Linked DNA regions of Tamandua tetradactyla. The protein of the gene in region 2 purifies or fractionates together with the protein of the main gene of each other region. This does not show direct contact. Links are inferred from orthologs where the notes say so. Each region holds a gene or a part of one and is shown on either strand. Other genes may lie near its edges. The genes, in order: LRRK1, SHC1, PRKCD and INPPL1.

What was found.
Region 1: the proteins of SHC1 (region 2) and LRRK1 purify together in Homo sapiens (affinity purification with mass spectrometry; 3 studies listed by BioGRID and IntAct, with this or other methods). This does not show direct contact. The link is inferred for Tamandua tetradactyla from reciprocal best matches to the Homo sapiens genes SHC1 and LRRK1.
Region 3: the proteins of SHC1 (region 2) and PRKCD purify together in Homo sapiens (affinity purification with mass spectrometry; 3 studies listed by BioGRID and IntAct, with this or other methods). This does not show direct contact. The link is inferred for Tamandua tetradactyla from reciprocal best matches to the Homo sapiens genes SHC1 and PRKCD.
Region 4: the proteins of SHC1 (region 2) and INPPL1 purify together in Homo sapiens (affinity purification with western blotting; 4 studies listed by BioGRID and IntAct, with this or other methods). This does not show direct contact. The link is inferred for Tamandua tetradactyla from reciprocal best matches to the Homo sapiens genes SHC1 and INPPL1.

The regions. Positions count from the first base shown.
Region 1 is NC_135338.1:83,680,745-83,687,974, forward strand, and holds the start of LRRK1 (leucine-rich repeat serine/threonine-protein kinase 1), read right to left. Parts: upstream 3,013-7,230; 5' UTR 2,903-3,012; intron 1-2,902. Other genes in the region: ALDH1A3 (retinaldehyde dehydrogenase 3), read right to left, coding at 7,112-7,184.
Region 2 is NC_135330.1:7,961,603-7,969,159, reverse strand, and holds the start of SHC1 (SHC-transforming protein 1), read left to right. Parts: upstream 1-4,553; 5' UTR 4,554-5,295; coding exon 5,296-5,883; intron 5,884-5,896; exon of another isoform or gene 5,897-7,498; coding exon of another isoform or gene 7,499-7,557. Other genes in the region: CKS1B (cyclin-dependent kinases regulatory subunit 1), read right to left, coding at 1,101-1,153, 1,775-1,902, 3,943-4,001. UniProt on the Homo sapiens protein: Signaling adapter that couples activated growth factor receptors to signaling pathways. Participates in a signaling cascade initiated by activated KIT and KITLG/SCF.
Region 3 is NC_135341.1:32,530,748-32,538,633, forward strand, and holds the start of PRKCD (protein kinase C delta type), read right to left. Parts: upstream 3,006-7,886; 5' UTR 2,793-3,005; intron 1-2,792.
Region 4 is NC_135334.1:74,050,988-74,058,698, forward strand, and holds the start of INPPL1 (phosphatidylinositol 3,4,5-trisphosphate 5-phosphatase 2), read right to left. Parts: upstream 3,007-7,711; 5' UTR 3,004-3,006; coding exon 2,807-3,003; intron 207-2,806; coding exon 143-206; intron 40-142; coding exon 1-39. UniProt on the Homo sapiens protein: Phosphatidylinositol (PtdIns) phosphatase that specifically hydrolyzes the 5-phosphate of phosphatidylinositol-3,4,5-trisphosphate (PtdIns(3,4,5)P3) to produce PtdIns(3,4)P2, thereby negatively regulating the PI3K (phosphoinositide 3-kinase) pathways.

The DNA.
Region 1 (7,230 bases), on a different chromosome or scaffold from region 2:
TCACCCAGCATATTTTGTTCCCCTTTTCATTTTCAGTTTCCTTTTGAAAATCACTTTACCAGAGGAGGATTTTGCCCCCGGAGCAGTTTTAATTATAATTTGTACATTTGTTTATACTCTAAGGTAATAGTTTTAAGATGAGGTAACACAAGTTTTACGCTATCTTTGCCCTCAAACTGATCTTTGCTTCCTCCTTTTTCTTTTGAGTTCAGACCAATGCAATAACTCATGGTCATAAATTATATATATGTATATATATATTCTTTTCATTATGATATATACCTCTTAGGTGGGCTTCAAGAGGATTTCTGAAATAATAATTGTCCTAGATATTTTTCAAAATTCAATTTTTTTTCCATTTGCTAATCCCTTATACTTGCATTAATGAATAAACCTAAATACTTATTGGAAAAACAAACAAACAAACAAGGAACCTGCTGTTAATTCTACAACTGTTTATTGAGCCCTTTCTGTGAGGCATGAACTTCGTGAGTTCATGAAACTTACAGCTGGTGGGGAGGAAGTCAAGTCAGTTACAGCTACAAAGTTTCCATCAGGGAAGAAACAGGAGACCCCGCACCCCCCACACTGTTTTCTTTCAAGAGATTTGGAAAGGGCTGCCACAACCAGAGTTGCAAGACACTTGCAAAAGAAACAAACACATTAGAAATACTAACACAGACCAGCTCCTTTTTAAATCAAAAGCCTGGTCAAGTTGATTGCTCCATGGTTCTAGACCTTCCTTTAGCATTATTAGTATCCCTTTACTGATATCCATTCGTCTTCAAAATGCATTGACAGGTTTGTGAATATCAAGATAATCATGGAGCTGCACACAGGAAAAGTGTGTGGTTCTCAAACCTAGAGGAGTTCCTAAGGGTTTGGCAAAAGAAGAACCCATGAGCCCGAAACCACAAATAAGTGAAGGCTGTCCCATTCACCATTCAGTTACACCAACAGTCTGCACTGGGCATCTCCTGTGCAAGGCAGGGTTCTAGGAATCAGGGACTGGGTGAGGAACATGTTAGGCACAGTCTCTAACCCCAGGAAGCCAAAGTTGGGGAACAGCCAGGTAATTAAAAGAGAAATGGAATAAAGAAAGTATACACAAACACAAACAGCGGAGAATGTAAGAAGGACACAAAGAGAGGGATGTGAGAGAGAAGGAGGGTGGGTTTAGCCAGGTTCGACAAGGCAGGCCTTCTAGAACCTTCTGAGGTATCAACCTCATCAAGAGTCAAAGGACAGCAATGCAGAGGCCCCGCACTGGGGACTGAGCTCAGTCAGGGTGACTGGGAGTCCAGTGGGGCAGCCCTCCCAGATGACAGAGACCAGATCCTGCAGGGGTAGAGGGGAAGGGGTTCTCTAGATTTCATGCCAATTACAAGGAGAAGCTCTTGAAGGCTCCCAAGCAGAGGAGTGACATAATCTTATTTACCTTTTCTTTTTCTTAAAAAAAAAAAAAAAACCTCTCTGGTTCCTAGAGAATGGAGTGGGTGGGGTAGGGTGGAAGACAGCAATCCTAGGGGAAAGAGGTGTTGGCATCTTGGGCTAGGGTTGGAGGCTGAGAAAGAAGTGGATGGCCCTGGGACACCTCTGGAGGTAGCCCCAACGGAACTTACTGAGGAACTGTATTCGGGGCATGAGAAAACGGGATCAAGGATAACGCCTAGGGATCCGTTCATAGCAACTGAGTTGAGATAGGGCCACTCCCTGACACGCAGCAGCCTGGGGGAAGAGAGGGCGTTGGTTGACATCAAGAGCTCCTTTAAGAATTTGGTAGGTGTGAGGTTTGTATGCCATAACCTTACGTTTTCACCTAAGTTATGCTTACAAGACATAAGCAAAGATACTGAGAAGAAAATCCTAATAAAATATTTAACTGTTTCCATTTACCAAAACCCTGCGTATGTTAGTTGTATCATTAATATTCCAATAGATTGATAATACCTCTAAAAATCATCTACTCTTTGGGTGGGGGTGGGAGTTAGCTAAAAAAAACAGCTCTCGGTTCCTGGGTTTCTCTGCCTCTCAAGCCGCTGCTTGCACTTGTGTTCGTGGGAGGAAAAATTTTGTGCGTGGCCATCAAACTGCAAACGGCCACCTGGTCTGGCTGGCCACCAAGCAAGCTCTGGCCTCCCCCATCACCATCTCCCGCCAACCCCCCGGGGCGCCCCGGGCTGCACTCATCTCACCGCCCCTGTGACGGCTGGGGAGGTCACCCGCAGGGGAGGTCACCCGCAGGGAAGGCCTTTGGTCTTAATATCCGGCCAGAGATGCTACCCTTGAGCCAGGACGCCCCTGACTGTGGACAGTGAAGGCACCCTGGGTCTTCCCGCATCACCCGGGCCGCCCCTGGGAGAGTGAGAGCCCGGGGCTGTCCCTTCCAACACCCTCGCACTCACGCTCACAAACACGCGCGCGCTCCAAGTGGAAGGAGGAGTTTTCTCCAAAGGCGGAGGAGACGCCGAGACGCCCGCCTGGTGGATTTTCCTACTTTTGTTTCTTGTCGCTGCTCCCCCTCCCCCTCGCCGTCCCGGGGCCGTCCTGCGCAGAGATCGGGGGTTCGGGGGCTTCCCCCTGGGCCCCGCACACGCCTCCGCCCCGGCCCGCGGGGGGGTGGCTCGGGTTCACGCGCGACTTCAGGAATCGGGGCTGTGATCGCCGCGCCCCGGGAGCCCCCTCGGGATGTGAACGCGGCCCCTGGGTCAGGGCGCCCGGTCCCCCACCACGCGGCCGCCCCGAACGCGGGGCCCGGGCTGCGCCGCCCGCGGGCGCAGGGCCAGAAGGCTCCACGCAGACCCCCGAGTGCGGGCCCGGCCGGGGCGAGCGCCGGGAGCCGCGGGGTCGGGTCGGGATGCGGGAGGCCGCCTGCCACCCCGGCGGCCCGGGCAGCGCTTACCTGCGGCGGCGGCGGGCGGGCTGCAGAGCAGGGGCTTCCCGGGGCGGGCAGGAGGACACCGGCGGGCCGGGCCTGGCGCTCCGACCGCCCTCCGCCCCCCGCGCCTCGGGCGGCGCGCCGGGGCCGGGCCGGGACCAGACGCACTTCCTCAATCCTGAGGCGGGCGGGAGGGCGGCGCGAGGAGCGCGGGGCGAGGCCGAGGCGTCCCGAGGCTGGGGGCGCCGCTGCGGCTCCCACCGACGTGCGGACCCGGCGGCCCCTTGGTGCCCTGCCTCAGTTTCCCCCAGCCGGCAAACGCAGGTACGAGCAAGTTTCCTGCTCCCAGCCCCAGGAGATGACTGGGCCCCAGGGTCCTTCCTGAGCGAGGCCCTCCTCCAGGTTTGGGGACTCCGCGTAACGCACACCGGGTCCCTTCAGATTAATCAGATTAATCAATTCCTTTTCGGATTAATCTGGTTTTCGTTGTCCCTCTGCTCTGTCCAGCATCATCATTTCCGGATTAACCTCGCATTTGAATGCTGCCCAAATTCCCGCAAAGCAAGGGTTGAAAATACCAGTGCAACCTGCCTACAGAGCTGTATGAAACTAGGGTGTTTTTTTTTTTAAATGTTCTTTTTTGCAAGCTGCACCTCTTCCACCACCTTAACTGACTACCTACCTTAATTGTGGATCTACGCAAAGATGAAGCTATTTGGTGAATCATTTTTTTAAAATTTATTAATTAAAAAAATTAAGAACAACAAAAACATTAACGTATCATTCGGTTCTACATACATAATCAGTAATTCTCAATATCTTCACATAGTTGCATATTCATCATTGGTGAATCATTTTTAACTGTCTGCTTTTTAAATTTGTAGTTCAGACATGGTGCCATGTGGCCGATTAATTATGCCTCAACCTAATATATGAGGATGTTTGTCACCCACTGAGGCACTAAGGCACCCACACATGTCCACGCGGCAGGCAGCCCTCTGATTTTTGACATTCTTGTCCACTGAGGAAGGAGAAGCGGGCTCAGAAAAAGCGAATCGTTCCGCACCCTGGCAGGACAAGCACCCGGGGCGCCTCTCGTGTAGGGCAACGGCTGGGAGAGCCCCAGGACTTAGCGCAAAGCACATGGGCAAATCGCCACGACTCTCAGGGCCCGGCCCCTTGCTGTCTGAGGGGACCTGGGCAGCTTGGCTCTGCTCCCAGGCGGCTGCCCCTCAGACCCTTCTTGCATCGGGCGCCCTTCCAAGAGGGCGGGTGCAGTTTTGCAATCCCTTTTTTTCCCATCGGCCTCCTAATACCAGGATGCAAGGCCAGCAGTATTGCGGCTATCGAAAAGTCCCTAATCATTTGCAGGGCGGGGCGTCATTGGTGTTGAGCGCGGCGCCTTCCCAGCGCGCGGCCCCGCCACCCAGCGACTCGGTGGGGAAGCGCAGCCTAGTCCCGGGCAGACCTTGGAGTGGACAGGCACCAATGTAATGCTTCACTTCCCTTATAAAAGAGTTTGTTAGTGGGATAGAAAATGGCCCCAATACGAAAAGCAGACAGAACATTCGACACACGGGTGTCCCATTTTGAGCTGGCTATTCCCCATCAGTCAGCTCTATCCATTGGGGGTGACTTATCAGGTTCTTATGGGAAGGTCCTTACAGGTCAGATGATTCCTTTCTCCTTTCTTTCACCCTGCTAATGCATGGTCCTCTCACATTGTGCTCAGTATTCCACCCAGCTTTTCAGCACCTCAAGTTGGAAGGCTCCCTCTCTTAAATATTTTACGAGGGATCCGATCCAAATTTTCTCTTAATGGAGCTGTGCTTCGCCAACACATGGCAAGAGTGTTTTGGATTTTTGAAATCAAATGCACAGTTTGACCTTGGTGAACCTAATGAAGTATAAGGAATGTTCTAGATCCAATCTCTGTGTCAACTCGAGACTTGGTGACTGAGGCTTCTTGTTTAGAAGTCTTAGAAATTTGAGGTAAGTTAAACCCAAATATCTAGTGCCTTGTGGAGAGAGAACCAAAAAATGGACACAGTAAAGGGAATACAATGTTTTCCCTAAATTTGCACACAACCCTTCATGCAACTATCCACACACATGGCAAACGTTATCAGCTTAGATGACCAGCTTAAGTCTAGCCATTGAAGACACAGAGCCACTAAGGCAGAGCTCCCTGCCTGGTCAACCCCAGTGTTTTTCACAGACACAGGCGAAGCATTGAGGCCTGATCAATTGAGCAAATGTAATTTTATTCTTCAGCCACTGGTACTGCTATATTACAGGTCATTTTGCATAGAAGGTCTAGGAAAGAGAAAAACTCAACCAGAGAATTAAAATGGGTTTGGTTCTCAAATGAAAAAGCATAAAGTTTCTCAAATATCCGATTTTATTTGATCATAGCTCCATTGTAACTTAATCTGCAGTTAGGATCAGAATTCCCAGGCCAATAGGGTTTTAAACTGTATCACAGGGTAAACCTTTAAAGAAGTAAAATCTAACACTATATAGATTTCCATTTCTAAATACAGTATATTACAGAAGGCATATCACCTCTGTGTACTTACAAACTATAAAAAGATACAATAACTCTACCAATTATAAATAATGTAGCATTTCATATTAAAGGCATTATTGTACAATGAAAGAATAAGAACCCTCTAATGTATTATGATCAAGGTTAGTGTAATAGTTGAGAACAAAATACTGAAAATTCAGTGTATGAAATAAAATCCTGATTTAACAAATTCTTGGTAGTGTAAGTGCTAACTGATGGAGAGGGTGTGAATTATATATTGTGGATTTCTGACAAGGATGAAAACCCTCTTTCGCACATGGCTTCCTTTGTACACAAACTGGTTTCGATGGTGAACTTAATTTTATAATTGCCTCCCCTCCCTCAACTTAATTCTCAAATGTAAGTAATAATTTTCCAATTAGGAAAGTACAAATTAGTAACATTAAAAGCATCTGAGGAACATAAAATTTGGTTTCTCTCTTTTTTTAAAGCTATATGGAAACACTTTCAGTTTTCCAAGCTGAAACAGAGGAAATTGCACATGATTTGGATACACAAACAGGAACAGCTCTACAACTTGTTAGTGAAGTGTTCAGACTTGGATCTAGTAGGAAACCCCACTCCTCCATGGAGTCCATGCCTTACTTGTTGACTAATCAGAAATTAATATCCAAAACAGGGCTTTTTAAAAACAGGGCTATATTATGACACGTTTCTTTCCAGTTGTGTGTGCTTTAATAACCTAAAATGGATAACCAAACTGGAAGAAGGAAAAAGTATATAGGCTTATCATAAACCACTAACGAATGTGGCAGCATTGCATAACCTGTAAAAGTGAATTATTGCTGTATTGTTTTATTTTTTAAATTGTGAGACAATTACTGGAGGATGTGCTATACTGTCTTAGTGCCAGAGCATTGGATTCTTAGCAGCAAAGGTGATTCTAACAATTGTTTTGCCTAAGAAAGTGCCTTGATAGTCCATGACATATGTTTAGAATAAGCTCTTTGGGCTGTTGATTCAGTTATATTGCAAAGGCGGTATTGGTTTTCAGCTGTGTTCAATGCTCAGTGCGCCTGTCTTTGAAGACCCACGTGCACCCAAAGCCTTCTGCAACCTTCCCCAAAGCTTGTATGAGCTTCCCCAAAGCTCCCCACAGTGGGTCCTCACAATCCCTTTTTTTATTAGTTTTAACTCAGCGCTAGTCCATTTCCCACTGAACAGTGCCTTTCAGTCTTATCCCAGGAGGAGGAAGTGCTTGTTCTATTTGCAGGTGAGCCGAGCACACCACAAAGGCAGGGCCAGGCGTGCAGACCCTGCCGAGAGTTTTTTCCAAATTCTTACCGTGGTCAGATTCGGCAAAGCATTTTTAAGCAACCATTGGACACTTCAAATGCCACTCCCCCTGAAAACAACGTGGTGAGCACTGTCCCTGTCCCCCGGGACCTGGTCTAAAGGGGGAAGACAGAAATGGCTGAGAGCTCTGCCCGGACAGTGCTACAATCTTGCACACAACCTACGGGCATCCCCAGCTAGATCAATAGAATAGAGTCAGAGGAAAACAAACTCGTTCAAATCCAGTCGACTGAAAGTTTCCAGGGGGAGGCATCCCGGGAAAGTCCGAAATGTAGTTGTTTTTCTTCGGCAAGTGTCGCCCGCCGCACTCAGCTGTCAAATGTTTGAGGAAGGACTCTGCCTGAACTTCAGTGGTCCTTGTCGTCGAGTTTGATGGTGACGGTTTTCACCTCTGTGTACTCACTGAGGGCATACTCGCCTCTGTGATCACAGAAAAGAGAAATATTCAGAATGGGCGCTTTCCTTA
Region 2 (7,557 bases):
TTATTTGGTGAAATATTTTCCTAAACAGTTACAGTCCACACATGTTTTTTCAAAGCTTAGTGCTGTAGCCACTTGCATATTGAATGCTTGAAATCCCTATAGCCAGGCCACACTGCACACCCATTAAATCAGACTCTCTAGGGAGCACAGCATCAGTGTTTCTAAGGCTACCCAGGTAATGCTAATGCCCAGCCAAAGCTGAGAACCATCGAAAACACTCCCAACCAACGAACAGTGCGCCTGAGCCTTATGCTGGGCAAGAATTGGAGCACATTAGTGTTCTCTGGCTGGCAGCCTCCTCCCTTTACCCTCACATAACCTTCAAATATGGGTCTAGGTTAAAGGCAGTCCTGACTGAAGCAACTTGTTCATGTTTTGGTGGGATGAGGTTGTCGCTATATAGCCACTACCTCAGGTCAGCAGTTAGAGTGAAATATATTTCAGTAGATGTTGGACAGCATGTCTGTTTCAAGTAGATTAAAAACCAATTACCTGAATGTTGAAATAAACCTCATTATCAGCAAAGAGCCTAGCTTCATTATCTAACTGAACGGCAGATAATTAGAACATGATACTGAATGTGATGCTCACCCTGACAGTGGTGGGGGAAAAAAACCTTTCAATTAGAATTGGATTATAAAAACTTCCTCTTTAATCAAGGGTTTTAACATGGAACAGACTTCCTGAATAAAATGGAAAGTTTCCAATACATTGAAACATAAAGCCACAAGTCACCATACATACAACACCCGGCAGGAAAAAAACAAAACACCAAGTTTACACAATCCCTGTAACTGAGCCATGGGTCTTATTCTCAGATGCTCCCTCCATCTGCCAGGTGTGTTCTGCTGGATATAGAGCCCACCATGGCATCTGGGGTCACACTTAGCTGAGGCTACGGCCCAAAGAGCACTCATCTCGCTGGGTAGAGGTGGTGTTGGCTCTGCTCAAGAGGCAAAGCAGTCACCAGCACATTCAAGCAGTCTATTGAATATCCTTTAAATATCAAAGTGAGAAACAAGAAGGCAACATTATCAGAAAGATGTTAGCAAGTAAGGACAGCTGTGTGTAGCTTGAGGTTGAAAAATCGTGTCCTATCTTCATTTCTTTGGCTTCTTGGGTAGTGGCCTCCGGAACAGTAAAATGTGAGGTTCTGAAAGAGGGGTGAAATCTTAAGAGACAAGTTTATACCATTCTGTGCACAACTTAGTTTATCTCATGCTGTCCCATGGCCACCTCCCAGCTTTCACCCACTTAGATCTTTAACTAAATTAAGATTTAAGCATATGGCTCTAGAAGCAGACCCAGAGGCAATTCTGCCAAGTACAGAATGGTTAATAATCCTTTTGCTGTGTTTGTACAGCCCTGGGATGTCCCTTATTAGTTTTGCCTGGCAGCTGGGTGTCTGGTGTCTTATCAACAAATATATTTTTCTTGGCTTATTTGGAACACATCCAAAAATCGGCTTTCTAGTGGAGAATGAAACAGGGCCATAACCTCTACCAGGGTATAGCTGGCCTTAAAGAGTATTCTCTGTTGAATGAATTAAAAATTAAAAGGAGATTTCTTCAGTGACAGGTTGTCTCTGAACTTCATGGATATTTTACTCTTATTTTTATTTTTGGTCACTCTAGTTTTTCTAGATAGGTGATGGAGGGGAAAGAGCCAGTAAATCATGCTCTCCTTCCCCCATTTCTTTGGGCAGCACACTTACTATTCCTTCGTTCTCTCAGTGTACCAGCCCTATACAGATGCTTTTAGCTGTTCCACTGACCTGGTTCATGGATCATATAATGGACCCATCCCTGACTTTGCTGAACACCAAGATTCCTCCATTCCGATTCAGACATCAAATGGGTTTTAGGGACCAGCTTGGCTATGTCCTTGGGCAACATGACATGCCTGTAAGAGAAACAAGGGAAGGCAGGGAATTTGTGTCAGCACTGTGAACAGTCTGTTAAAACAAGTGCCTGCAAACAAAGCCAAGAGAGGAGAGAAAAGAGAAACCAGTTTCTGAAGTCAGGAGTTTATACATTCCTTATTGTATATAGAGGGCTAGGGCCAGCTATGAATCCAGCCTAAGTTAGGTAAATCCTCACAAAAGTACCTTATAAATAATTTAAATGGATGAGCACTTAAGTCTCACGTACTGATACATTGTCCCTGCCTTCATCATGCTTACAGTCTTCTCATTGATTACCCATAACATAATGAAAGCCCCACAACAAACATTAATAATTAAGTTGGGTTTTGAACAGGTTTGGTAAAGGGAGAGCAATTTTGTGGAGCAGAAAGGCCCATTATGTATTGCTGTGTAGAAAAGCCACCACAAAGAGTGAAATGGAAATATCTTATCTTTTAAAGTCTATTCCAAATCATTTTCCTTATTCTGAAATAAGGATATGCCATGAGACTTCTTTTGGGAAACTCCATGCTTCCCTAGCCAGGGAAAAATCTCTTTTCATGACAGAAAAATTATTACTCTGAGCTTGAACCAGGCTAACCTGGGTAGACTTCATTATGTTCAGTGAAAATGTACTAAATGCTCCCTCTGTGCTAGTAAGAGGTTTTTTCCCAGAGATAATTCTAGTGTAGATGTCTGAAAATAGCTTACATTCTAACAAGCTTCTGCCACAAAGTTTGGCTTCAGTACATAATTTAACAAAAACCTCTTAAACCAAATTACCTTTGCCAAGCTAAGAGTTACATCTCCCAAAGGATGAAACTAGTGACTTCTCCCTGCAAAGATGTTATAAGTATCTAGTTTCAGTTAGTTTAGTTCAGATGTAGAGGTGTTTAGCTGAGGAAAAGAAAGTTAATTGCATCCGAGAAGGGCTTGGGGTTGTTTTACCAAGGACCTAGCATGAAAATGGTTATTTGTCAACACACACAGAATTTTCCAAAGTATACTCAGAGCCAGGCATTAGGCCAGGTGAAGAGACAAGACAAAAAGCAAGTTTCCATTTTATACTCTCCAATTGAGACAATATGCAAACAGAAAGTTGTCTTAATTATTACAATTAATACAGATTAGTAGAATGTTAACAATTGTAGAATCCTCTGTCTTTCCTCATTTTCCAATCTAGAATTATGGATTTATCAAATCTTAACTGTGCATACAATCCAGGGATTCCTTCTTTGCCAACCGTGGTAGACGACTAACCAGCAACTTGATTCTGAGGCACTTTCTCCTTCCTAATCTTTTCCTTGAGTCCATCTCAGGCAGTTTTCTCGAGGAAGCGTTCCCAGACCTACCAATTTCCTTGGCTGGTTTTATAAATCCCACCACACCCTGTACACATCTCTATCATATCATATAAGTGTATCTTCCACAGATTTTAAGTTCATTGAATGCAGAGACAACGTCTTATATTAACCTTGCATCTTAGCAGGACACCTGAAACCTGTAAGTACTCGTAATTGTTTCCTGAACAGATGCCCTTCAAATATCTAAAGTTTTTATTAGACTCATCTTAAACCTTTTCTCTTAGCCAATTTGTTCCACCTCGCAGCCCCCTTCCAAAATAAGCCAGATTTGGACCCTCTCAGGCCTCTCCTCACATTGAGGACACTAGAAAACCTCCAATTCCGCTTTTGCCAACTTCTCCCCGCAGGCATTCTGGTCCTAGACGGTTTGCCCAACAAAGTTGAGAGAATACTCCAGAAACCTGCAAAGGTGATGGGGGGTTGGGAGGTCAGGGACCGAAACACACACTCTAAGCCACGCCTCCTCTCAAGAGTCCAAATTCGCAACCAATTTATCTGTTCCCGAGCGCGCCCGACGCGTTGCGCATGCGCTTCACGCCCTCCACGCTCTCACAGCACTCCCGTTAAACCCCAGCGCATGCGCCGAATCTGTCGCCTCAGTTCTCATTACTAACGCCTCGTGTTCTCACTTGTCAAGGCTCACGACCACGTTACGGCCCCCGCGCCGGCACTAACCGGTACTCGAACTCCTCGTCGTCGTATTTGTCCGAATAGTAAATTTGTTTGTGCGACATGATGGCTCTGACTGAGGGCCCCCAGCCCGGCGCAGCCAAGCTCCAAACAACTCCCAGCAGCACGCGCTCCCACCCTCCTTGGCCTCGCTTTCAAACACACCGCCCGCACTTCCTATTGGCTTGTTTGGCTCAAGGCGGGACAGCTCCACCTTCAAGCCTCTGATTGGCTTAGATTTCTTCTCCTCGAGTCTTTATTGGAGCGCAGTATCCTACGTTTCTCTAGAACGAGCGTGGGACAAAAATAGGCCTCCTATTGGCTATCGCTGCGCTTGTGCTCGCTCTCGCACTGCTATTGGCTGATTTACGAAAGTGGGCGGGGCGAAGGAGAGACAGTGAGGTAGAGGGTCAGGGGTTAGTGAGGCCGGAAGTAGGTGCAATAAAGTTTCTCCAGGGAGGCCTGGCCCGGGGAGAAAGTTGGAGCGGCGACCTAGAGAGGCAGTGTGGCGTAATCCGGAACCACATCGGCCCGCGGTGCGGTGCGGAGACTCCATGAGGCCCTGGTGAGTCTTGACTTCTTTTCTTCTTAGGTGACCCACACCTCCACCCCGGAACCCCTCTCCCGGGACCCCACTTCCGGTCTCCCCTTTCAAGTCCCGCCCCCTAAGACCCCCTTCCCGGAAGTCCCACCTCTCAACTTCAGGGGGGGCTCCCCGAACCCCGATTTGTTTTCCATCTATTGTTCCTGACCCCACCCTGTCGCCAGCTTTATTGGAAGTCCCACCCCCAGACATGCTTCCAATCCCTACTACTAGAAACCCTTCGTTTGTCCTTTCAACTGTCTGAACTTCCGCCTCCTCTGGACGATTCTCCGCTAACTCTGTCTGTCAAAAGACCTATCTCCCAGAAGGGCCGAGCCCTGCCCCTCCAGGAACTATTCGAATTAATTGAAGCCACGCCTCTCTAGGGGCTCCACCCCTCCAGAAGCCACACCTCTCCCTTAATCTGCGTTTGATGGTGTAGAAACCTTGGCTCTCGGTAGTATCTGCTGCACGCATTTTAGGGGCCACGCCCCCACAGGAACTTTATTCCTGTAGGACCCAGGTCACCACCTCAGAGGCTTTGTCTTTGATTCCAGACGCTGTACATTAATACTTACATTTCCCCTCCCTTTCTGTCTTCTGAGCTTTGGACTCAGCTTTCCTGAGCTCTCTCATGCCCCACTGAGTGGGAAGACAAGTTCCCATCTTTCGTCCGAGGAGTAAGAGAGGCAGCCCCTCACCCCCTTCCAGTGGTGGACCGACTTGAAGAGGGACTTGGGGTCTGGTACGAGAGTAGGACAGAGATTTGCTTGTAGATGCCAAGCCCCACTCCTTTAGTTTCTCTTTCCAGGACCGACTCCACCCCAGGAAGAGCTGAATGTCATAACCTGCACTTCGCGAGCTGGGGAGGGCTGTGGATTCAGTGGTGTGCAGCGTGTGGGTGTGACGGGAGTGAGGGTTTTCTGTCACCTGAGAATGCGGGTTTGGAGTGGGGGCTGAGAGCAGTTTACCTGGTGGTGGTTGATTATTTTAAGGGACTCCTCGGTTCCCACCACTTCTCTGGCTCTTCCCCTCCCCCTAGCCGGAGTTCTTGTCTGGGCATTCCTCCTGGTCCCGCTTGCCTAGCCTTCCCGGCTGGAAACATTCCTGAGGCTTTCACCATTTCCTGCTACTTTCCTCCCAGCTTGCCTCCTCCCTGCTGGGCTGAGAAGCCAGACACAACGTCCCCACACCCAACCACCTGGGCTCCCAGTAGGCATTTTTCTTTCTTTCTATGCAAATTTAGAGCCAAAGTTCCTCTTTCTTTTCTTCCAAATGCCCACACCTGTTGGTTGCTCCCGACCTCTGGCAGCCACAGAATGGCTGTCTTGAAAGATGAGGATATCCTACTGTGTGTTGAATGTGTGAGTCTGAGGAATCCCTTCTTCATTTTCTCTAGACCTGAGAGCTGAGGTCTTAGGAGACGGAGTGATAGAATTCTTTCTCTGGAGTGGTGGCTGGGGTGACAAACTCTCCTGGGATGAGGGCTAATGGGAGGTGAAAGAGTTTAGCACAGTGTCTCACATGTTTTAAGTGCTAATATTGTTGATCATTTTTTTACCCTCTGAAGTAAATTTCAGGTTAGGGTAATTCCAAGGTGAGCTGGGGGTATGTGTCTTTTACTTCTTGTTTTTTGGTGGCTTCCTAAGTTACTCTGTTGCTCCCTTAAGCACAGTTGTGGTGAGAAGCTGTGGGTGGAAGGAATGGGTTTGAGACTTCCTTGTGTCCAGCCTCAGCCTGTCTTCTTCTGGCCTCCTTTTTTTTCTGTAGATTTTAAGACAAATCTGTCTTCTACTTTTTCTGTCCTTTAGTGGCCCATAGCTCCCATTTCACTTGGAAAACTGATCCACTCTCCCATCCGTCCCCTGGTGTGGAGGACACTGTGCTCTATGATGAACCCCTGCCCCTTCCCCAGTTACTGCTGGGGGTGGGGGGGAGGAGGGGTACAGGAGTACACCTGATGGATCCAGGGAGTTGACTTTCAAGTTAGTGCTCTGGCTCTCAGTTCTTAGCCTTGACAGCATTCTTTGCTGACTAGCCTGTGGGAAGAGGGGCAGGACTGTGCCTGGCATGTAGGTGCCATGCATAGGAAACAAGGCTCGACTAGCCTGTCCTCTTGTTCCAGCTGTCACCTCCAGCTTTATCCCCTTCACTTCACCAGTTTTGCCTTTCCTCTTGGCCCCTCTGTGCATCCACTGGGACCACTTCTTTCCCTTCCCCATTTTTCTAGCTCCAGTCCCCAGCTGTTGTGGCAGAGAAAGCTAATGGCTCAGGCTCCCTGGGGCCACCTTGACTGTGTGTGGTAGTGGTGGGGAGGTGGCCGGGGTTGGAGGATGGGGGAATGTGAGCATTCAACCAGGACTAGAAGGGAAGTGCTGAGCTCAGGGATCCCACCCTCAGCTGCCTCTGTTTCCTCTCTCATTGCTACCCCCCACCCTCCCATCCTGGCTTCCTGCACCCCCTGGCCTGCCCATGTCCTGTTTGGACTGATCCAGACATGCTCTCATTTCCCTCCTTTCCTTCCCACTTCTCCATCTTTCCCTTTAGCCCACAACCCGCACTTTACTCCTCTCTGGTGGGGTCGGGAGAAGGGGCTTAGATATCTCTACTCCTGCAAGGGTTCTAAGTCGGGGCTGCGGTGGGGGCTCAGCCCCTCTGAGCCTGTGAGTCAGCACTGTCCTCGCGATTGGTCTCTCCTCTTTGCTCCCGCCCCTGGGGAGGAGCCAGGCAGCTCTGGGTCCAGCCTGTTCTCTTCTCGCCAGAAGAGAGGCTCCACGTTGGGCGGGGATGGGCCCTGAAACTGTCTGGGTCTGAGCTGGGGGAGCAAAAGCCGCCTATCCCTCTCCCTCCAGGACTCCTGGGACTCTTAGACCATAGCGGTCTCACCAGGCTAAGGGCCTGGGATGCCCCTTGCCTGGCCCCCTTGCCCTGACTGGCAGGGGGGCCGGGCTGGGCAGCAGCCCCCTTCGCACCCCAGCCATGGATCTCTTGCCCCCTAAGCCCAAGTACAACCCACTTCGGAATGAGTCTCTGTCATC
Region 3 (7,886 bases), on a different chromosome or scaffold from region 2:
AAGGAATGAATGGCAAAGGCAGCAAGAGGGCTTGAGTCTCCTGGCTGCAAGGCCTGAGCACTTTTACTGTAGGCCAGGCTATGACTCCACCAAAGATTTCCTTCCCCAGAGGTGCGCCCCTTCTCCAGATACAGACCCCCATAACTACTCCCTTGGGGCCGATGCAACCTCAGGTTTTATCTTTTTGTCTGCACTTTAAATAACTTCTAGTTTTGATTTAAACTCCAATTACCTATACCATCTAAACTAAAGTGTCAGTGCCCTGCAGTCACAGCTCCAAATCATCCCCCACCCCACTGCACCCCCTCCCCCAATGCTGTTGCCAAGCCTAGGAGTGGTGGACGGGTGTCACGTAGACTGAGTGGGGGGGGGTGCTGGGGGCTCTGTCAGCCCCTCCTTCCTCCTACAAACAGTCTGGTCAAAGGGGTAGGAGAGGTAACTGACATACCAACAGACAGCAAGGCAGGAAATTGGGTTGGAGACTATCTAGGCTTTCATTATCCCTAGCTCCCAAGAGAATGAGGACCATAAAGTTGGGGGCAGAGATGGGGAGGTGGGGGATGGTTACTAAACTATACTTAGTATGTGCCAAGCATTCATTATGAGTGAAGGCTGTGCTAAAGGACTTTCAACACAGGATCTCCAGCCCTCACAGCAGCCTTCTCCATTCTGCAGATAAGGAAGCTGAGCCTTAAAGGGGCCTAGCTCAGGGCTTTTGCTCTTAAGACAAAAGACTTGAGCCCAAGTCTTTCCTGGTTCCAAAGTCTTGATCACAACACTACAAACCCCAGGGTTTTCCCTTTGGTGTCTGTCAACTTGGGAGAGTGGAGGCAGGAGCAGGGCTGGGCTTGGTGCATGTCATGTGCACACCCCCACCCTTGCAGCCTCCCACACGCTCAAATATATGCTGGGGACTCTCACCCCACCCCGCTCCCCCAGCACTGTTACCTGGGACACAGACCATGCACACACCTTGTCACACCCCCTCCTGCACCAACACCCACACTTAGGGCACTCTCAGTTCCCCACAGACACAGTCACGCCCTGAGCACACACACTCGCAGTTTCATACAGTCAGACTGTGAGTCTCCCACCAGTCACTCACTCACACTGGAACCTCACTCCACCAATGCCTCACCCTCAGCCAGGGCTGTCACACACTGGATCCCCTGCACCATCTCACGGGCAGGCACAAACACCTCCACATCTCACAAACACACACACAAACACAGGTCACACAGCTGCTCTCTGCCAGCTTGTCTGCCTGCCCCACCCCATAGTCCACAGCAGGAAGGAGGAAACCCAAGGGACCAGTCCCTTCCCTCAGTGACCAGGGCAGCCTAGCCCCAGCAGCTCAGTGGCAAAAGGAAAGGAAGAATCAAATATGTATACATACATACACACACACAGACGCTTACGTGAGGCTGGCATCCTGATACCAGGGGCTCCCACGATTAACAGCTCAAATGTAGTCATGGCCAATGGGTCACCCCATGACACACCCATGCAATGCGATACCCTCCAGACACTCACGGGGATATACACACACACACACACACACACACACACACACACACACTCCAACACATGGAGAGGAGTCTGGTGACAAAGAACACACCAAGACATGACACATACATAGTTGCAAAGGACACATGCAACCAGACACACACATACACATTGACTATTCACATACATTAAAAAGGAAACACACACAGGGGCAAGTCCCAGACCCCATGACAAAGAATATACAAGAAGGCACAAACACAATATACCCACATGCCCAGACACAGGCAACTCATTATAAGATGTAGGATCGGCACATACAGTATGGGGACCAGAGAAAAGGACCCTCCCCCATACTATCAAATCATTATGACCAGGTTTAAGCAGGGGGGTTGGTGGGGCTCTCCCCTCCCCCCAAAAGTTAGGGAAGTGGGGGCTTTTCTGACCTTGCTCACCTCCTACCCCACCCCCCACCCCAGTGGACAAAAGGGTGTGCCAGGCCCCTTCCTCCCCTTCCCCTCACCAGGCTGGGGTGGGCTGGTGGCGCCTGGGCAATGGAGGAGCCTGGCTGGGGACAGATAACCAGGCAGGGGCCACCGGAGGAGGGGGCTGAGAAGAGCTGAGGGGTGGAGAGGCGGGGCCGGAAGGGGGATGGAGGCTGGAGGGACGCTCAATTCAGAGACAGCTGGAGAGACAGAGACATCGAGACTGAAAGAAGAAATACAGCAAGAAGTAGGCCCTGCGCGGACTGGACAGGGACCCAGGACGGGAGGACAGACGCGGTGGCCAGCCTGGCCTCGGCCCTGGAGTGGAAAAGAGGACGTAACAGATAGACAGGGGACAGCGGAGGGAGAAGCGGACATGGGCAGGGGGCGGGCTCCGGCAGGACAGGACCAAGGGGTCCGGGGAGGGGGGCGATGGGGCAGGCGGAGAGATTGACACAGAAAGGGGCTGGGGAGTGCTGGACAGGAGGACATAGAGCGATGGGGATGGACAGAGAGCCCCAGAAAGACTCGAGAGAGACAGACAGACACTTGGAGGAGCTAGAGGCACAGAGGCTGTGTAGAAGGGCTAGGGACAAGGGGCCTTCGGCCCCGCCATTTGACGGAGGGACCGACAGACGGATGGACCGAGGGACCAGAGGGTCTCCGCGGACGGCGGTACTTTCTCTGGCCGCGGCTTAGTTTCTCGGTTTCGGAAACGGGAACTGGAGACTGGGAGGGGATTGAGAGGAGTGGCGCGCCCTCCGGGTAGCCCCGACCCCGAGCCCAGGCCCGGCCCTCACTCACCTCCGGGCTCGGGGCCAGGCGCCAGGGGTCTCGGTGGGCGGAGTCTGGCTCCCGGCGTGACTCCGGGACTTGCGCGGGCGAGGGTCGGTGCGGGTCCTGACTGGGGCGGACGAGGAGATCTATGCGGTACGGCCCGGGTCTCGGATCGGCTGGCGGACGCCGGGGGTCGGACGGGGATTCGGGACTCCAGCGGGCTCCCGCTCCTGCGCCGCAGCACACGGAAGTGCCAGGGGGCGGGGCGGCGCGACCTCACCCAGGTGCCGGCAGGCCCCGCCCACGGCCGGCCCCGCCCCTTGGTCCGCCCTCGCCAGCCCTGAGCCGGGGTTTGGTGTCTGCCTGGCTCGGTGCGCGTGGCTCCCTGTCTGGGCCTCTCAGCCCTTCCCCGCACACTTCGCGCTCTCGCCCGCCATGAGCGCGCGCACCAGCCCTCAGAGCGGATTCCGTTTTACAGGAGGGCGCTGAGACCCGGGCCGTGCCCCCCTGCCACTGCTCCCGTACACCCGGGTCCCCCTCGTCGGAGGCGCCGGCGGGGGTTCCCCGACTTTCCATGCTCCGGACTCTCCACTCGCCAGCTGGCTCGCCTCGCCCAGCTTCGCTCCTTCTCTTCCTGTTGGCTGGAGCGCGTCCGTGGCCGGGCTCGGTGCCCACAGCCAGGCCTGCCGGTCCCGGCCCAGACTCCAGAGACGGAACTGGAAAGACTCCAGGGCGGGAGCTTCTGGCTGGTCCGCTGCTACTCCACAGGCGGTTCTGGGTGCCGCCCCTATCCAAATCCGCCCTCCACCCCCCCACCAGTCTACCACTTTCCTGCTGCCACCTTGGGGACCTCCCCCAGCAGGCATCCGAACTTCCTTTCCAGACCTGGAACCTGGAAATGTTAGTCATCATTTATTCATTCATTCATTGACTGAGTGTTCTCCTGGGGACCGAGTGGGGCCCAGGGGAATTCATTCCTCTGCCCCCAAAGCTCTGAAAGCTATTAGCCCAATACTCATCCAAAAAATGTCACCTCCCAAAAGGCAAAAAGGGAGGTTTCCCACATTCTGGAGGAATAATTAGAGAGGAGGAAAGGGGAGGGTCAGAACAGCTTTTCCTAAGCCTAATGGATGGAATGGGGGACAATTCCTGAGGGGGCCTGAGTTGAGCAAGGAGCCCATGCAGAGGCAGTTAGCTGTGGCCAGAACTTTGATCCTCTCAAGGAGCAGGAAGGTGGTGGAGGCTGTTACTGGGATGTGATAACAGGATCAAGCAGACCTTTGAGGAGATGGATGGACAGAGGGATGGGGGTAAAAGGGGCAGAGAAGAATGGATGGGGCAACAGGGCTGGGACAGAATGGATAGGGAAGAGAGGCTTATAGGAGATAGGAAATAGGAGAGGATTGATGGGAAGCAGAAGGACTACAGTGAGGGGGAGGGGTGTATGGGGAAGGACAGAGGAGCTGCCACATTGTTCAGGTGGGAGGAGTCTGGGTTGAGGTCAGGGCAGATGCTGGCAGAGAAGGGGCCAGACCCAGATGGTTTGCCCAGCTGTGGGAATAGGAGGGGAGGGTTTTCCAGTGAGATTCCTGGGGCTAGTGGATCCCAAATCCAGTTTGAGTATGAGATCCCCAGTCGGGGAGGAGGGGGAACAGGGCTAGAGGCAGAAATACAACACTCATCTGAAGTCCTGGGGTGGGAGTGTGCGTGGAGGGGAGGGCAGGGGGTGCTTTACACCTGGGAGGAGGGAGGACCCAATTTGAAAAGAAAATAAAGATGAGGCTCCCAGTCCTGATTCCTCTGCTCCACCCAAGGAGAGCTCCAGGTGTAGTCACCAGACCTTTCCTACCATACCCTGCATGCAGTTCAACTTGGAAAAAGGGAAAGAACAGTGGCTGTCACTGACTGGGACTTCGCCAGTGTCAGGCCCTGTGCTAGGTGCTGGATGTGGGTGATCTGTTCAGTCCTCGAGACCAAGTGAGGTGAGGGCTGTTGTTAACACCAGTTTTAGTGAGGAGAAAACTAAGGCTCAGTGAGAGGTGATGCCACTTGTCAAAGGTTCTATATTTGTAAATGGCGGGGGCAGGATTCAAATTGAGGTCTGCTTATCTCCAAAGCCCATGCCTTACTTTTGAATCCGAGGTTCTTAATCTCAGCACTACTCGTCTTTGGGCCAGATAGTTCTTTGTTGTAGGGTCCATCCTCAACCTGTGCATTGTAGGATGTAGCAACACACCTGGCCTCTATCTGGTAGATGTCAATAGTACACACACACACACACACACACACACACACACTGAGTTGTAACAAACGAAAATGTCTCCAGACATTATTAATGTTCTCTGGGGGCAAAATCACTCCTTGTTGAGAACCACTGTTTTAGATCTGGGCTAGTGTTGCAGGAGCAAGAAGGATTTGGGTTAGATACTAAGAAGCATTTTTCTGGCCCTCAGGATTATGCAGACTCATGATCTTAGGGACTGAGAGCACACATTCACTTCAGCTAATTTTCTTCCTCTGGAGACTCCAAAGGAAAGTGTAATGCACTTAGACAAAGGGCAGAACAGCTGAGGCTGTGCAGCCTACGCCCTGGCCAAGGTAAAGGAGGGAGGCAGCTGGGCTTCCCTCCAGGGACAGGTGTGTATCCAGAAGCCTGAGGAGGATCAGGCTTGAGTGAGGTCCAGGGAGTCCAGGTCAAGCTTGGCTAGAGCCTCCCTGTACCCTGGATCTCCTCCTGAGTACCGCACAGAATGGGCCAGGACAGATCCAGATGAGCTTGTTTCTGTGCCCCCACAACCTGCCTGGCACTAACCTAAGAAGGGCCTGCTGAGGCCTGGGGACAAGACTTGGCTGTGCCACTTGGGCAGATGAATGCATCTCTCTGAATCTAAGTCTGCTCTGTGAAAGGAGCTGATGACCTACCTATTGGTAGGTCATCAGAGTGGGTAGAGTGGGCACCCAGTGAGGACTTGGACCACATTGGCCACATACTATGGGTACGGTCATTGTGCTGAGTCACAGATTGTCAGCCTCAGAAGAGCCCTCAGTGGCCTTAGTGATGTGGGCCATAAATCCCCTGGCAGGGCTGGGCCCAGTGCAGCAGCCAGAAGTGGTACTTTCCTTTCCCCCTCCTCCATGTTTACAGCCAAGGAAATGGGACTGTCCAGTGTAACAACTGAGCAGCATCCTGGACTCCCACCTCCGGCATCCACTGGGGCTGTTCCTCTACAGTCGCCCTGCAGGGGATGTCCAGAAGAGGGGCAGCCTGCCCCGGGCCCTGTCTTGCCCAGAGGCCATGAACACTGGGCAGCCCTCAGGCCTTCTACAGCAAGTTCAGGATTCAGTCAAGCAGCCTTCCTCTGACCCCTCCCCCAGCAGCTGTGGGTGGACCAGGGACCCCCAACTGCTCCCTGCCAGTTGGTCCTTGCCTCAGCCTCTTCCTCATTGGCCCCTCACTGTACCTCCTGCTCTCTCTTCTCACTCCCTCTCTTTGTTTCTGCCTGTTTTGCCATCCCTGTCCCTGAAGCTTTGGCTGCCAGCACCATCCCCATCACACCCAGAACGCTGGCCCAGCCAAGAGACAGTAGGCTCCTGTTTCTGGGGCAGGAAGTCCAGGCCAGCAGGGACCGTGCACCTGCACAACTGCGGGGGATGGCAGAACCTGGGAGGGTTCCACTGGGGGTAGGTGGGTAAGGAGGGCCCTTGAGACATGGTCCAACCTGCAGCCATGCCTCAGGCCACCATCAGCAGAGGCTTCAGCCTGGGGCACTGGGTGTGGGGGAGGGTAAGGGCAGGTTGGGCAGGCAGTGGCCAGGTTCACATCCTGGCTGTGTCCTGGACCTGTAATTTAAGTGCGCCTCAGGGTCCTCATCTGTGGAATGGAGATGATAAGAGTAATATCCACCTCACAGGCTTGCTGAGAGGATTGAAGAGACCAGGCTCCAGGGGCTCTAGCAGCAAAGCTACTAACTACAAAGAGTTGGGAAGGCCAAGCTAATGGTCTCCAAGTTCCTTCCTCAATTACATTTGTGCTTGGGTGAAACTTGCGAAATACTTGGGGTAGACAAGGGGAAGATGCTTTCTGAGAGCACAGGGCTCAGGGATTTTTTAAAGCCGTACAGGGGTACACAGCCCCTGACTGTCCCCACCCAACACTGACCAAAGCACAGCCCTCACTGGCAGCTCCTGGGCTTACCTGTTCCCCAAAGAACGTGGAGGGAGGGAGGATGGGGGTTCTTATTTCCGAGCAATCCCAGGCAACAGCCATCCTCTCCGCATAGAGTCCCAAGGAGCCGCCAACTCTCCTCCACTGCCCCCACCTTCCCCACCTCTGTGTCCCAGGATCCACCCTGCTCTGGCCTGCCACGTCTTAGGTGCTGACACCTTGAGTGTCCCAGATGCTCTGGGCCTCACCAGCCCCCTCACCTGCCAGTGCCTCAGTCTCCCTCTGCAGAAGACAGCTCACCCAGCCCATCTTGGCTGGTGGGAAGCTGGGAGCTTGCGGGTGCCCCGGGCTGGAGGACGGCCCCTCTCAGTGGGGAGGGTGTGGGAGGACCAATGGCACACCAGCTCCCCATGCCACTCACAGATCCCCAGGCCCACCCGGAGTACCGCGCTCCTGCCCCCGCAGGCACGATTCTCGCGCAGGGGTAATGACTGGCCCGGCAGTCCCCACCTCCCTGGCTCCTCGCCCCGCCCCAGGGAAGTCTTTCCGTGCAGAGGGCGGGGGCCGCACCCCAGCCGCGTTACAAGGGACCGGCTATAAACGGTCCGGCTCTATGCCGAGTCGGGCAACCACCTGGCGGCTTGGCGCGCGCTGACACCTGGGCCCCGGCGCCGGGTGGCATCTTCTTGGCAACCCTCCCCGCTGCTGGCTGCGGGCTCTGTCTGTACAGCAGAATCCGGGAGAACTGAGCACACCCATTTCATGGCTGTTGCAATCGAGGCCCTGAGTATGAGGATAGTACAAGGTCTTGCGGCTTGCCACCCTGGCCGCACTCCCAGCTGGGAGCCTCTGAGAAGACCCGCAGGACATAAGGATTGGATGGGACATGAGAGGCAGGGAAAGAAGAGTTGCAGAAGTCTAGAAAAGCAATGATTTTCTGCTATTCTGATGAAAAA
Region 4 (7,711 bases), on a different chromosome or scaffold from region 2:
TAGGGTCTGGAAGCGGCGCACAGGCACACCCTGCGAGGTCTGCAGGTCACAAGAGCAGGAGGAGTCAGCCAGAGGGTCCCAAGCCCCAGGCTAGAATTAGGATCAAGGTCAGGGGTTAGGGGCCAGGGGTCAGAGCTCCCACCTGCACAGCCAGAAAGTCTTCTCCATCAGGCAGAATGCGGTAAGTATGCACATGCTTCTGATACCTGATGGGAAGGCGGGTCAGACTCCTGTCACTTCCAAGCCCCAAGGTACCCCCTCCTCCTGCCACCAGGTTCAGCCCCATGGCCCCTCAGCTTGGTTTCCCTAGGAGAGCTTACCCAGACTGCAAAGGGTTAACAATGGGGCCAGTCTATTTCCACCTTCCTCCCCCCTCACCACCTTAAGACCTGCATAGACTCCACACCCACCGCAGGGCCTGGGAAGCAACAGGCATTCTTTTGTGGCCTGCACAGCTGTCTAAACAGCCCTTCTGGGCTGTGATACACGCCTGGGCCCCCCTGCCAGAGTATGAGTCTTCAGATGTCTGGTTGCCCTTGTCTGTGCACACGGGCAATGTGCAAACACGTGTGTGCCTGCTGTGTGTGCTCATGTTAGTGCCTGGCTCTGCTGGAGCTGGGTATGTCTGTGGGAGTTTGACTGGGGGGAGTTAGGGGGCATCAAACTAGGACTTTCTCTGCCTACTTCCCCCAGGAACCAAGAAACTAGATGACCCAAGGGGATCCCCTTATGGGAGACCTGGGCCTCTAGGAGCCCCAAGCTGAGAAGGGGCAAGAGGGTGCTGACAGATGGCAGCAACAGCTGAGCAGGTGACAGCTGAGCCACGCCTTCCACAGGCGCATATTCACTGGGAGGGGGAGGGCTCCCTCTGTCTCACACACCTCAAGGTAGGCTTGCCCAAGGGAGTGGCCAGCCCATGTGTGTTGGGTGGGAGGAAACATAGGCACCAGGGAGGGTCACAGGGCCAATTCCTCCCTCACATAGCCCCCTCCACACTCTGGGGCTCTCCTGGCTGGACCCAGTACAAGCTGTGTGAGTATTTGTGTGGCTGGGTTTGTTGGCTTGTGAGCTGTGAGTCCGTATTTATAATAATAACAGTATCCCATTAACTGAATCCTGTCTGCTCATCTCACTTAATCTTCACATTTTGAGCCAGATAGTATTATTATTATTATTTTCTAGATGAGGAAATGGAGGCTCAAAGCAGAAAAGTGATTGCGTAAAGGTCACCAAGCAAGCAAAAGGCAGAGCTTTTTTGGGATTTAAACTTAGGGCCTGGGCCTGTCAGGGCAGGGGTGTTTTCTGAATGTTATCTGTATACATGGGGTGTGTATACAGATCAGCAAGTACCTATTTGTTTGGGAAATATAAGAAATCACTCGTTTCTGATTTCTACCTCAGGCTCCTGAGAGGCAAAAGAACAGCCTCTCACCCCACCCCCTGGCAATGGAGTAGAATCCCTCCCTCCTAGGACAATAATGTCCCTCACCCAAACACAGGCCCCAGCTGTCCCTCTCCCACTCAACAGCTGACATAGCACCTGCCTCCCTCCCCTCCCTACTTAGGGGATACACCTCAAATGGGGCTGGGAGGCAGGACTCCTAGGACATTTATCTGCTTAAGCTGACCCTCTTCAGCCCCCAACACTGGGCCTCAGACTTGAGGCACAAACTGAAATTGAAATGTATAGGGACCCTTTCTCTTCAGGTTAACTGCCCAGTTAACTGCCCAGGCCAGGGTTTCTCAACCTCGGCACTATTGACATTTTGGACCAGATAATTCTTTGTTGTGGAGGACTGTCCATAACAGAAGGATGTTTGCACCATCCCTGGCTTCTGCTATGCCAGTAACACCATCCCAAATGTCACCAAATGTGACAGAGGGGAAAGGAGGAAACACAGGGACAGCAGGATTCAGAGGGAAGTTCACAGGGCTAAGGAGGAACATAACTCGATCTAACCAAAGCAGCCTCTGTAGCTTCCGATTCATCTGCATCCCACTCCAGAGGCCCACAGGAGCCCACTCAGTGTCAGACTGTGTGTTTGGGGGTGGGGGGGTGGGGCTGGCAGTAAGGGGTAGGGGAGCAGATCAGGGAGAAGACTCCAAAACTGAATGTGTAAACTCACCCCAACACCACTACCACACAAAGCTAAGTGGTGGACCCACAGGACCAGGACTACTTGAACAACTGCCAAGTCTAGCCCCACAGTTAGCACCCATTGCTCAGGGCTACACCCAGGACTCAAACCAGGAGCCAGGGGCACAGACCTCTGCTCATGGATTCATGCAATAATGAGACAGCCCCATGCAGCCTCACATGCTCCTCTTCTTCCCTAACCTTCCTTTCAACAGCAACCCCCAAGCCCCAGCTATGAACAGCCAGGCAGTCCAACCTCAGTCCTAGGTGCTCAGAAAAGAAGCTGCTGGGGCTCTTCACAGAGTCTATCAGTCCCTCTATCCCCAACTCCCTCTACTGCTTACTACTCAGACACTCAATCCCTATATAAACAGAACTGGACACAACCTTGGAACACACATCCTCTCTCCACTGCCCCTTGGACATGCAAGATGCCTGGGAGAGTCTACCAGGGACTGCCTGCATTTTCCCCCATCATCGCATACTCTGAATTCGAGTCCCCAGACACACAGCAGGAAGTGCCACTGCATCCTTCTTCAGCCCCAGGATAATGCCAAAGCCCCTACTCTGGGGGGCGCTGGCGTCCCACCGCCCCAGTCACCCGGCCGCATCCCATCCACTCCCGCCTTCTCCCCAGCCCAGCCTGCCCGGAGCCCCCGCCCCACTCACAGGACACAGAGCGCGAAGGCCCCCGCCACGCTCTCGCTGTCGCGGACCAGGAAGCTGCCATCGCGGCCCGCCCGGGCAAGCAGTTCCTCGGCGGCGGCGCGGCTCAGGTCACTGTGGTACCACGCGGGAGCCGGACAGCCCAGGGCGCCCCCGGACCCGGCGCCTCCCGGGCCAGGCGCCCCGCACGCGGAAGCCATGGCCCGGTCAGGGCTCAGCGCTGCCGGCACCAGCCGCTCCGCGCCATCCGCCCCCGGCCGCTTCGGGCTGGGGTCGGGGCCGGGACACTGTCCCGGGGCTGAGAATCCGCAAGCGACCCTGGGCCGGGGATCCGGGCTCCGCGCCCCACCGCGAGGGCCGCCTCGACACCGCGCAGCCGCCGCCGCCTGCAGCGCCGGCCACAACTTGAAGAGAAAGAAAAGTTTGTTCAGAGGCGGCGGGGGAGGGGCGCAAGCGGAGCGCAGAGCCGGGCGGCCGGCTCCCTCCCCCTCCGCTCGGCCCACGACCCAGATCGCCCCTGCTCCCAACCTCTTACCCACAGAGTCGTGTCCCCCACATTCTTGCAGAACCCGGGATCCCCCAAACCGCAGGGGGACCCGATTTCCCAAACCCCACAATGATCGTTCCCCCGCCTCCACCCCCAATCAGCGCTCCGCAGAAATCCAGTCCCCAAATCCCCCATCGAAGTCCGAGTCTCCCCATCCTATACCCAGACCCTTCGGGGCACCGTCCCTGTTTCCTCCTATCACGAGAATTCAGCCTCCCTTCTATACCCTTAATATTATCACTTCCAACCCCCATAAAGGTCTGATTCTACCCCAAATCCTTTTCATCCGTCTCCCCTACAGCACCGCAGGATCGAGTTCCAAAACCTGCGAAGAATGAACCTCCCTTCATCAGTCTCCCCATCAACCGAGGGGGCCAGACCCCCAACTCCCAAGAAATCCAGCCACCTCTTGGCCCCGAACCTTAAACTCCACTGGATCCGGCCCTAAGAAATCCCGCAGGGCTAACCATAAAGATCCGAATCCCTCAGACCAGGGCCTGTGCCCTGGGACCCCTCACTCCCCGTCCCCGCAGCCCTTCCCGGCCAAGGGTAGGGGCCCTTCCCCCTCTCGGCCAAGTTCCCTGGCATCACTCCCCCTTGCCCGCAGGGCCAGCCTTGAGGGGTTCAGCAGTCCGAGACGAGGAGGCCCCTCCTTATCCCACTAGAAGAAAGTTCCCCCAAATCCCCGACCTCTCCCCAGAGACCCGGCCACCTCGCGCAGGCCCCCACCTCCGGGCTTCTCCGGTGCCCCTTCCCCGGGAAAGCGGCCCTGGACTCTCAGCGGCCACTTAAGATGGCCATCCGCCGCCGCCGCCGCCACAACCCCCCACCCCCCGCCTTCCGCCCCGCCCGCTGCCCCGCCCCCGCGGCTCTCGGCGGAGACTGTGGGTAGGACGCTCGCTCCGCCTCAGCCGGGTCGCGATCTCGGCCCCGGAGCCGCTGATCGAGTGACCTCGGGCAAGTCACCGCTCCTCTCCGAGACTCGGCTTCCAGCTCTTTAAAATAGGGAAACTGTTAGGAGCGCAGACTCAATGGGACGGTGCTTGTAAAGCTCTCGGCACAGGGCCTGGCACCCAGCAGGCGTTCCCGAGCGGCGGCTATTTTTATTATTAATTAAGGAGTAAAGAAGGTGACAGCTGTGTAAACTGTAAAGCGCGGCTGCGGAACGAACGGGTATTATTAGCACCCACCCCCACCCCGGCTACTCCCTCCAAGTCAATAAACTTGCTCCCCTGTGGGCCGAACGCCGAGCTGGTTGCACCCAGGACTCGGCACGCTCCGACGCCCCCCGACTTACCCGGCCCCCTCTGGCGGCGGGCTGGGGGAGAACGCGGCCGCCGGAGAGGGGGCGGGGCGTATAGGAGGGTCTAGCCCTCCCCTTCCCAAAAAAAGACCTAGCCTTTGGCGGCGTCTCAGGGGAGTCCGCTTCCTGCCCCGCCCCTCCTCCCCTGGCTCCTTAAAGGCGCAGGCACCCAGCCGCGTGCTCAGTAGCCAACTCCTTGTCCACCGAACCCTTCGACGTCTGAGAGAACTTTCCTGTTGCTAAATTAAACCTGTTGACGGAGTGCGGGTCAGTCCTGACAAGATCCTTCCTCCATTTCAAATATCCATTGGGTTAGACCCGCGGGAACAAAACCTGCGACGTGGAGGGAGCTTTGTGGAACCGTTCAGACCAGATAAATATGATAAAGTAAGAAATTTCCGCTCCCACCCAGCAATGTCTCCAGACCCCACCAATCAGTACCCGGCTTCCCTCGTCAGTCACCTCTTCATATGAGGAAAGGTGAGCCTGGTGTGCGGGGGCAAGAGACCTGGACTAGAAACGTGTGTCCTAAGATGGCCACTCACCTCAGCAGGTCCCTGCGCTCCACGGGGCCTCTTTTCCACCCATAGAACTGTGGTCAAGGTGTGGAGACAAAGACTTCCTCTGGGGAGAAAGGGAAATGGAAGTTCCAGAGACCAATTCAGGCCTAGCCCCTGGGGGCTGAGAAGAGACGCAGCAACTCTCCAAGACAGGTATATCTACAGAAACCAGAAGGGGAGAAGGTGTCCAGGAAGGAGGCCTTCCCAACTCTCTGGGAAGGACCTAGCAGGGCTGGACCAGTTCCAGACTCTTGAATATTCCCTCCGCAGTCCACTCTCTCCCTCCTCTGAAGGTCCCAAGCCCCAGCTCTGCCCCTTCAGTCTGTCTACATGTTGGGCAGTGTGAATTTTTTCACCACCACTGGGAGTTCAGATCCGTCCCTGGACTCCTATTCCCAGCTGTGCTATTGCAGACTGAGTGCAGGGCCAGGCTGACTAGGGTTGGGGGAAAGGAGAGGTTTTGGAACCAATATAAATAATGAAGCCTTCGTGCTGCAAGAGCGACAGAACAAGGACTAGGAATGTGCAGGCACTGGGCTCCCATGCTTTCTAGGCAGCAGCTCCTTTCCCTCTCTATTTCCCTCTCTATTTCCTATACCACAAGGAAATAGAACGATGACTTGACAAATTTTTTTTCTTTCTTTTTGAAATATTTTGTGTTTTGAAATATGACATACATACAAACAATAAGTTTCAAAGTACATTGTAACAAGTAGTTATAAAACAGATTTCAGAGTTTGATATGGGTTGCAGTTCTACAATTTTAGGTTTTTCTTTCTAGCTGCTCCAAGACACTGGAGACTAAAAGAACTATCAATATAATGATTCAGCAGTCATACTCATTTGTTAAATCCTATCTTCTCTGTTATAACACCTTCTTCTCCTTTGATCCTTCTCCCAGTTTTTAGGGGTATCTGGGCTCTGCCTATTCTTTTTCATGTTGGAAAGAGGTGTCAATAGTATGGGATAGGGGGATGAAACTAGTTGATGTTTTTGAAGAGGCTGGCCTCTCTGGGTTTCAGGATTAATCTGGCCTAGGAACCATTTGGAGGTTGTAGGTTTCTTGAAAGTAATTGTAGTATGTAAAACTTTTTACATACATAATGTAGTATGTAAAACTTTTTTGAGGAACCTCAGATAGAGCCCTAGGTGTTCTTGAGGGTTAACAGGAATGGTTTTCATTGGGGTTTGGCAAACCGTGGTAATTAGCGGTATCTAGCTGAAGCTTGCATAAGAGTAGCCTCCAGAATAGCCTTTTGACTCCATTTAAACTCTTAGCCAGATACCTTATTTTGTTGCATTTTCCCCCCTTTTAGTCAGGAAGGCGATGTCGATCCCACAGTTCCAGGGCCAAGCTCATCACTGGCAGTCATGTTCCACGTTGCCAGGGAGACCTGGATGACATGTCCCACGTAGGAGGGAGGGTAATTATTTTACTTACAGAGTTGGGCTTAGAGTGAGAGAGTCCACATCTGAGCAATAAAAGAGGTTTCTAGAAGTAACTTTTAGGCATAACTATAGGTAGGTTTAGCTTCTCCTCTGTAGGATTCGGCTTCATAGGAGCAAGCGCTCAACTTCGCCTATTGACTTGGGAGTGCCTAATGTTTGACACAGTATCAGGAGTTTCCCAGGTGGTAAAGTTTAATAGTTCAATATTTTTTCTCCAGTCCTTCAGGGTGCTTTGCCAGTCCTTTTTAATTATCTGCCCACCATAGTCTGAGATATATCAGGTATTACATTAAGCTACACAGAATTACAAGCCCTCATTCCCACTCTGGGCTCCGTGTGTTTGGGTTGTTTAAATGAGCTATCCAGACAAGTTGAGTTTGATTATATGCTACAGAAAATGTAGATATTGGACAGAATAAATCTCTCTTCCTTTGATCTTATACATTAGGTGTAGTTCTAAGTAATGCCATCCTTACCCCTGTATTCTGATTTACCTTAGTCCCAACCTGTTTGACTTTGTCCTTATCGCTAAGTGAAGCCTGATCTCTTTTTTGGTGTCTTTAACAGTTGTTTTATGTAGCCGTGTTGGCTTTTCAGAGCTGCCGAACTCCAACACTGAGTCTTAGGTGTCATACAGGTAGCCAAAGTTCCACGGAAATATTCCGTTATACACAGCATCTCGAAATCTAGGAATAACATTTATAGCTCCAGACTGAATGTAACTGCTATGTGAGCTTACAATGTAGGCCCCAATTTTCTTATCAGTATTTTCTAAAAAAGACCGTACAACATTTTTTCTTTTGTTTCTGGCTTATTTTGTACCACATTATGTCCCCAAGGTTCATTTATCTTGTTAGATGCCTCATGATGTTGTTGCTTTCTGTAGCTGTTCAATATTATATCATATGTTTATACCACAGTTCACCATTCTACTTCTCAATGAATGTATCCTTCAGCCCCTCCATCTATTGGGCATTGTGTATAATGTCCAAAGTCAACAATCCATGTCTCACATTATCCTCACTTAATTGTACAATCATCAACACTCT